Linked DNA regions of Kluyveromyces lactis. Each later gene encodes a partner of the first gene's protein in a complex. Links are inferred from orthologs where the notes say so. Each region holds a gene or a part of one and is shown in the gene's direction. Other genes may lie near its edges.

Region 1 (4,459 bases):
TAGACAAAAGTTGGTACTTGAAGGAAGGCCATTCATACTTCTCGCATTTTTAAATAACCCAGAATTTCAGGTCCTAGAGAGACATCCCACTGTTGCTCGTAAGGTTTTGAAGGTTATTTCAACTACCAACTGGCTCAAGGTTTTCACAGAAAATCTCGGAAGTAACAATAGATATGTCATTTTGCAAACCCTGCTTGAGTTGGAAAAGTATTTCAGCACAACCATTCACAGAAAACATGTCGACGTTGTAACAAAACATGACGATTCGTCGCACCTGTCCACGTTATTGGGGGCATTGCTTGATTCCACTTACAAATTTAGAAATAGAGATCTCAAAATTTGTCAAATAGCAGCATCATGTATTAGCCTGATAGGACTATTAGATGTTACCAAGCATGCTCTACCCAGGAATACTAATCTATCTGAAGAAATTTGTGACTTTAATAATCATTCCCAAACAGTCAAATTTTTAATCAGTATTGTAAACAACATTTTAGTACCCGCATTCTGGCAAAGTGAAAACCCCACAAAACAACTATTCGTTGCATTGGTGATGCAAGAATCTCTGAAGTATTGTGGGCTCAGTTCAGTTAATTGGGATATTAACAGACCCGATGATTATCCTGTAGAAGCTAAATTATGGTCCAGGTTTAATGATATCTCTAAGACCACTTTGTTTCCATTACTATCGTCGCTCTATCTTGCCCAGTCGTGGAAAGAATATGTTCCCTTGAGTTATCCTTCGTTTAAAGTGAAAGATGGCTACCAAGTGTGGATACGCAACCTTACTTTGGACTTGCTTAAGATAGGTACAGAGGAAGATCATCCGCTTCACGTTTTTTCTTCTTTGATCAGAGAAGATGATGGTACATTATCAAATTTCTTACTGCCATTCATCACGATGGATATCATTCTCAGAGCCAATAAACATAACGAGTATTCGAAAATCATCGAAAATCTCTCCATAGAGTTCGAGTTCATTTTCAATTTCGATCTTCAGCAACTAAATCACTTTCAGATAGACTCGCTCAAGATGGCTTACAATACCATTTTCAGGGTTTATGAATACTGTAAAAAATGGGTTAGTAGTTTCAAGCAAGACTATCAAGCAGCCAACGGAACTTACATGATTCAGGAGGATAAAGTTTTGCAAGTTTTGGACCGAACTGAGAGATTCGTAAACACAATACCGTCAGACACCCTCGCCAAGAAATCGTTGGAAACAGATTCCTTTGAACGCTCAGCGCTTTACCTTGAGCAAAGTTATAGAGAACACGGAACCTCGTCTTTGGCGTCCACCGACTTATTGCAATGTATTCAGAACACATATGCCGAAATTGGGGATGTAGACGCTGTAGGTGGTGTGCTAAAGATGTTTTCTACTGGGAATTTAACCACAAAAATAGAAGAACTGCAATATTCAAAAAACTGGAAAATGGCTCAAGACTGTTTTGAAGCTCTTGGTGATTTTAAGCTATCAGCTAATTCTACCACTAGTTCAGAACTGGTTAAGTCATCAAATATGAAAATGTTAAAGTCAATGTATAGCCATCAACTATACGAAGAACTATTGATGAAGGTTAAAGTGCATCTTCCTGAGACGAAGGGATTCTTGGTCGATAATGACGGAGATTTGTTGAATATGGGTATTGAAGCTGTCAGTCAAACTGGTAACATTGTTGAGTTAACGAGGTGGATTGAAAGAGTGGAGCACATTCAAATGTTTAACGATCCCTCATTACTTTTGCATTATAATATTGCCAAGGTTTTGCAAGCTGTTAGTAGAAATCAGCAGCAAAATGTGGAGCGCTATATAAACAAATGTTTCACTCTTATTGGAGCCCAATTTACCATTCCATCTACTAGCACAACTTTGTTGAAGAATCGAGAAGTTTTGCAAAAGCTTCACGCACTTACAGATATCAAACTGCTGTGCAGCGCACATACTCAGTCTGAATTTTCAAATGCTTCGAAAGCATTAGATGGTAGGCTGTCGCACGTAGGTTCGGATTTTTCTCCAAATCATTATCTTTTGTCAATAAGGAAAACTGTAGAAATTATTTCAAAGAATCAGCATCTACAGAATGACATTTCGAATGTGTATTTCCAACTTTCTCAGCTTGATCGTAAAGAAAATCGTCTTGATTTGGCAGCAGAAGATTTGATGAATGCTTTGAAATATAACCACCATTCCGCGGAGCTTGAGTTTGCAGAAATTTTATGGAAACAAGGTGAAAAAGATATGGCCTTGAAAACTGTTGCAGAGATAACAAAACGATTTAAAGATGATCCTTCTACTGCTTCCTCCGAAAATCAAGATTTCAAGGAAGTGCTATTGAAGTATACGGAGTGGTTGGATTTGTCTAATAGCTCGGTTTCTGAGCAAATTATCAAGCAATACAACGAGCTTATTCGTTTTGATAAAAATTGGGACGCTCCATTTTACTCTATGGGTTTGTATTACAGTAAGCTTCTGGAGAAGAAAAAGGCTGAAGGATATGTTTCTGATGGCTCATTAGAATATAGATCAATCACAAACTTTTTGACCTCTTTCGAGAAAGGCTCTCCCAACATAAGACAATCCTTGCCAAAAGTTGTCACACTTTGGTTAGACACAGCTAAAAACGACGTGAATAATAGCATTTCTGATGTTAGTAATTATTCTTCAAGAATCTGCAACAAAATCGATACGGCAGTCAAAAATTGCGGTATACATATATGGTATACCGTTTTAACTCAACTTCTCTCCAGGTTAATGCATCCTCATACCGCGACAATACACACCATTGTTAACATATTATTTCATATGACGTTGGAATATCCTTCAGTGATGCTATGGTATATATCGATTTTGTTGAACTCAGAAAGCCTGGAAAGAAGGAATATAGGGAAACAAATAGTTGAAGCATTCCAGAAAAAAAACCCAAGGACTAAATTACCAGGAACAGCGATATCATTGGTGCAGTCATTGACCAGGGTATGTATAAAAGACGTTAAGAATACTGCTAGCAGATCAGGGAGATCAATAGATAGTGATTTCAAATTTAATCTAGAACTCGCGCCAAATGACATGTGTGTGCCCGTCAACATTAATTTAAAGAAGCTTTTACCATCCACAGCTACGAGCATGAACTCAGATCTATTCAAAAGTGTCATGGTTTCCATCGCCAGATTTTCATCCCAGTACATGGTATTTAACAGTTTGAAAAAACCGAAAAAGCTCACTGTGATCGGCTCTGATGGAAATATTTACGGCATCATGTGCAAAAAAGAGGATGTCAGACAGGATAATCAATATATGCAGTTTGCCAACACAATGAGTTTCCTGTTGAGTAAAGATGTCGAGTCTAGAAAACGAAATTTAGGAATAACTACTTATGGTGTTCTCTCTTTACGTGAAGATTGTGGACTATTAGAAATAGTTCCTAACGTGGTTACGTTACGTTCGCTTTTGAGTATGAAATATGAAAGTATGAAGATAAAATACTCATTAAAATCATTACAGGAAAAATGGCAATCAATACCTTCGGACCAAAAGTTGGCGTTTCATAAGGACTGTTTGAAAAAGTTTCCACCAGTTTTATATCAGTGGTTTCTTGACAACTTCCCGGATCCAATCACATGGTATAACGCAAGAAATGGATTTGTCAGATCTTACTCTGTTATGGCAATGGTCGGCCATATATTGGGTCTCGGGGATAGACACTGTGAAAATATCCTTTTGGATGTCTTGACAGGAAGAGTCTTGCATGTTGATTTTGACTGTCTTTTCGAGAAGGGTAAAAAGCTTCCTGTTCCAGAAATTGTTCCATTCAGATTGACGCAAAATATTACTGACGCATTTGGTATTATTGGAACGGAGGGTACTTTCAAAAAGTCAAGTGAAGTTACTCTAAGAGTCATGAGAAACAATGAAATAGGTCTTGTAAACATAATTGAAACTATTATGTATGACAGGAAAATCGATGAGTCAATACAAAACGCCCTTAAAGTTCTTCGAGACAAAATTAGAGGCATTGATGCCCGTGATGGACTGGCTTTGAGTGTTAGTGGGCAAGTGGAAGCTCTCACTCAAGAATCATGTTCGGTGGAAAATCTAAGTAAAATGTATATCGGTTGGTTGCCTTTTTGGTAATTATTCCTTAAAATCTATGTTACAATTTTCTACAAAGTTTCTAGCGTGGAGGCAATGGAGGAGGAGGGCGTTTTTTCCGAACCTGTGCGTTGATTTCCGGGATCATGTTCTCTGCTTCCTCGAGAATATCTGAAGATGTGATGGAATGCGGATTCAGGTTTTCATTATTTGTAAATGAGTAGCTCATCTCATGTCTCCTATAAACATCTGGAGATGTCGGGGAGTAAGACCCAGATGTTGACCTGGCTCTTGTTCTGTTAACAAACATCTCGGCACGATGAGACTCTGAAGTGTGATGTGAAGTCTCTTGTTTTGAATTATCAA
Region 2 (4,030 bases), about 1.2 Mb from region 1:
TCTTCAGAGTTAACTGATCTGATGGATAGTTTATGCAATAATTGGACCATTAAACCTGAGAAACGTTTGAAAGTTCTTGGAATTCGTACAGTAGGGTTTAACTCGATAAGAACGCCTCGACTGGTCTGAATATAAACTTGAAGTTTACCAGCCTTATTTACAGGAGAATCTAATAGGGTTAGAAGACATTGATGAGTAATGTCGGGTCTAGCTTCGCTTATATCTCTTCCCATTTTCTTCAACAAACCTTGATGATCATCACAATTCAACAAGACGTATTTATCCCCACCAGGACCGTTGGATGATATTTTATGTGTCTCTAAAGAAGCCTGGGATAGCACCACAATAAGTCTCTTGGTAACTTTGTCCTTCGATGTTAGCACTGGCGGAGCTTGAGGGACCAATGATGCCGGCAAGACTTTCTTCTCACCATTTTTCATGGCATCTCTGACCTTAGAATCTTCAACCATATTATCTTGATATTATTTCTTTTGTACTTATTATATTACTAAAATGTACCGTAATAAAGCTTATCCTCAGTCGATAACAAACCACAGGAGCTGGTACAACGATGCGGCAAGTAGTTAAAGTATGGTCTCTTCCAGTTATTCTGTAACTATTCCATTCGATGAGCATGAAGTGGTTAATAGAAAAAAAAAAATTCAAACAGTAAAAAGAAATTCCGTGCACCGCATGTCATAGCTTCCAAATGACAAGAGGGAAGGGATTTCAAGGCATGAAATCGCCATTCGATACATGCGTTCGTTGTAACATGGTAGAATGTAAATCAATTGCATCTCTGAGAGTGTGGGTCTTGTCCCATCTTTCGATTGAGTATTTTCAGTAAATTTATGACTAAACATTGAAATGTCATATTTACTGGGCAAAGAGAATACTCTATGTAGCGTCAATATAAATGATCTTTCTAGACCATTCATTTAAATGATTAACAATTTTAACCATAGCAATATCCTTCTGAAAGAAACTTTTCTTATTATGATTGTGAATATGACATTGATTGTTTCAATATGTTAATATAATCTTTTTTATATTTTACAACTCTATGCCAGCATTAAGTCAAATATCATTAATAAATATTGTAATACATTCAAAGAGTGTACAGAAAGAGATATAGAAGTTACGGGACTTTAATTCAGCGAGTATAAGGGCATTATAGCGACATGTTATCAGCGTTAATGGGGAATGAAGGTCAACAACAGTGAAACCAAGAAACTATGTATTTTTTTTCTCTTTCAGCTAATGCAGATCATCTGCATATTTGTTTACACCTTAAGACCACAGAATTTGATTTAACCTTTAACTGTTAATTCATGTCAAGAACATTACCATGAACGCGTCAAACAAAAACAAGAAAAACCAACCTAGGCCAATATGGCAGATTTATGGGATGATAATGACGATGACGATGATATCCTAGAACTAGTGAATAGACCTCCGATGAGCCAGATGGCGGTACCTATTAAACCGCCAGAATCACAAGCTGAACAGTTAATGAAAGCGAAGGGAGAAGTGGGAGTCTTGAGGCAGAAGCTGAGTATGCTCGAAAAGACTCTAAGGGAACATGATGATAATCAGAAAAAGCTGGAATCAAGTCTGAAAAGTTCTCATGAAGAGGAAGTTACGAAGCTTAAAATCGAATTGGAACGACTTGAAGATGAACGAAAGTTCATGTTACTGGAACAGAAACATTTATTTACCCCCAGAAATAGCAGCAAGTCTGAAACTACCCACGAAACTGAAACTGCTGAACCATCACCAATTGAAAATAAAAGAAGAAGGATGGAACCCGTTAAAGAATACGTTACATTGACTCAGAATTTCAAAGTAGACGATGGTTCCCTTTTCTATGATCATTTGCTGAATTTTAAACTACTTGGTTCTGAGCACACAGTTCTAGAAATGCTCGATCACATTTGTACTTATAAGACAGATCTTATTTTGAGCCCGGAACACAAAATAATTAAGGCCAGGTTGCCTCTTGGCCCTCCTATTAGATCGTTGATATTTAAATGGAAATCCATTTACACCCTCGATCAACTAGTTGATAAAACACTAGAGATCTTGGCTATTGCTATAAAATCAGTAAGTGTACTTCCGGAAAATAAACTTGCCATCCCTTTCCTCATATCTTTGATGCATTGTACAATCAATTTTAGACATAGTGCGACCAGTGTTAGTTCACTGAAGGATGTATTTCAATTCATTACAGATTTTATCATCTCTGATCCTAAATTTTTGAAACAGCCATTGCATGAGAGTCCTTTGGATTTAGACGTTTCTCCAGACGTGTTTCAATATTCAATGCTTGATCAATTATGCATGACTTATTCGTTCGATGTCCTAGAGACATGTATTGTAATATTGCTAAACTGTAATACGCGGGCACAGGAAATAGTATTGAATGACGCTACTATTGCAGAGAACCTCATAAAATGTTGCAATTTTACTTTATCAATTTCATATAAGCCAATAATGCCAATCATCGTCAACGTAACGGAAATATTACTCGGTATAGTTGAATTGGATGGTGCTGAAAACGTTTGGAAAGGCAAATGGGCAGTATTGTTCTCAAAATTAATTCAAAATTGGGAGAGATCACTTACTTTTGACTCTGTGTCACTCAACTTTGCGGGTTTAAATAGGTGCTGTGGCGATAACTCCAATCATTCAATGATAGATAATATTATAAGTCTCGAAGAAGTTCGATATTTACCCATGATTATAGAGAACGAGTTTGAACCTCTCACTTTCACAGCATTAGATAACCTAGAGTATTGGTCAATTCAGATACAAATTAATATTACATTAATAATGCATAAACTGCTTCATCGATACCGATCCACTCTATGTTCGTTGGAATTTCTACAAAAGACTTTTTCTCTTTTCAGTAGTCATCAAGAGTTATTACTTACTGTGTTCTTGGATAGGGACCATATCAGTGATATTAAGAGACAGGAATTGTTATCAGTTTTATTAAAATTGATATACTTCTGTTGGGTGTCGATAAGTGACGAGTATAAACGTGCCTTAAGGCTAGACGAACTGACAATCTGTCTATGGCGTATTGTATATGGGTGGCCTGAGTCGACAGATGAATTATCCACAGAATGGGCTGCCCTAATAAATCCATTGAAAGCATTGGCGTTAGAGGAAGAGAAGAAATACTTTGATGACGCTTATGATGAAGATAATTTACCAGCATTCATGCACTCCGAGGAATTGGACATAAAAAGGGAATCTGCAGTTTCAAAATTTAATAACAACAGCTCATGGCCATTGAGAGACATGGCTAAATATATTCTCGAAAGCATAACCACTATGGATGAAGCGGATTCATTGTATGTAGCCATGGTTAGTGAAACTTGAGAAAGACGGAAGCGAAGAGAGCTCAGTTACTGGCGTTCATGTGCATCGACTTACACTGATCAAAGTGATAAATATTAGCATATTCCAATTATTTCATAGGAATGAACTCTGAAAAGATTATATTGATGGTTTATTTAGAAGTACAATGCTTATACAAAGTAATGAGATAATAAAAAATATGTCTTCAACAACATGATAATCTCAAAGTTTAAGCGGATTGTGCCTTAGCTTCACCAGATTGGAAACCGTTCTTGAATCTTCTAGAAACGTGTTTCAAGTATCTCATTCTACCGGTACCAGTGGTTCTTCTTCTCTTAGCCTTGGCAGCCCAGTTGTGAGATCTCATCTTAGCAGCTGGGTAACCACAAGAAGAACAGGTGTGCTTTTGAATGTGGTAACTACTACGGCCACATCTCTTACATAGAGTGTGAGACTTGTTGTGGCGCTTACCGAAAGATGGAGTACCCTCTGTTTAAAAAATTTGACAATGCAAAAAAATCGTTAGTAAAACTGTTTCCTTAGAGTAAATCGAACTCTCCACATGAGCTAGGTAGGTGAAGTGTAATATGATGGTCATTATTACTTAGTTGAATCTGTCAAAAAATTTCATAGAAGGTAACATAAAACCTAACCTGATATTTCC

The links. The genes of interacting proteins can lie anywhere in the genome.
Region 2: the proteins of MEC1 (region 1) and LCD1 are in contact, whole or in part, in a cryo-EM structure (PDB 6Z2W), measured with the Saccharomyces cerevisiae proteins. The link is inferred for Kluyveromyces lactis from reciprocal best matches to the Saccharomyces cerevisiae genes MEC1 and LCD1. Residues at the interface, in NP_009694.3 of Saccharomyces cerevisiae: Ser24, Val26, Ile28, Asp67, Ser71, Glu82, Tyr83, Asn116, Tyr117, His118, Arg119, Trp121, Phe122, Arg125, Ala133, Glu136, Phe137, Tyr138, Gly139, Lys140, Lys143, Phe144, Leu165, Gly167, Lys168, Thr169, Glu170, Leu171, Tyr186, Tyr192; in NP_010787.3 of Saccharomyces cerevisiae: Lys187, Asn189, Met190, Val191, Pro192, Leu193, Asn194, Arg197, Ile199, Leu212, Gln214, Ile216, Tyr233, Gln308, Phe309, Arg310, Pro311, Asn345, Met346, Asn347, Leu348, His349, Val350, Glu351, Pro352, Ile354, Gln356, Tyr357, Glu373, Arg377.

What each region holds. Positions count from the first base shown.
Region 1 is NC_006039.1:1,367,556-1,372,014, reverse strand, and holds the end of MEC1 (protein kinase MEC1), read left to right. Parts: coding exon 1-4,135; downstream 4,136-4,459. Other genes in the region: NVJ2 (Nvj2p), read right to left, coding at 4,176-4,459. UniProt on the Saccharomyces cerevisiae protein: Serine/threonine protein kinase which activates checkpoint signaling upon genotoxic stresses such as ionizing radiation (IR), ultraviolet light (UV), or DNA replication stalling, thereby acting as a DNA damage sensor.
Region 2 is NC_006039.1:149,274-153,303, reverse strand, and holds LCD1 (Lcd1p), read left to right. Parts: upstream 1-1,392; coding exon 1,393-3,387; downstream 3,388-4,030. Other genes in the region: EMG1 (18S rRNA pseudouridine methyltransferase), read right to left, coding at 1-470; RPL37A (60S ribosomal protein eL37), read right to left, coding at 3,596-3,855. UniProt on the Saccharomyces cerevisiae protein: Forms a complex with the serine/threonine kinase MEC1 which activates checkpoint signaling upon genotoxic stresses.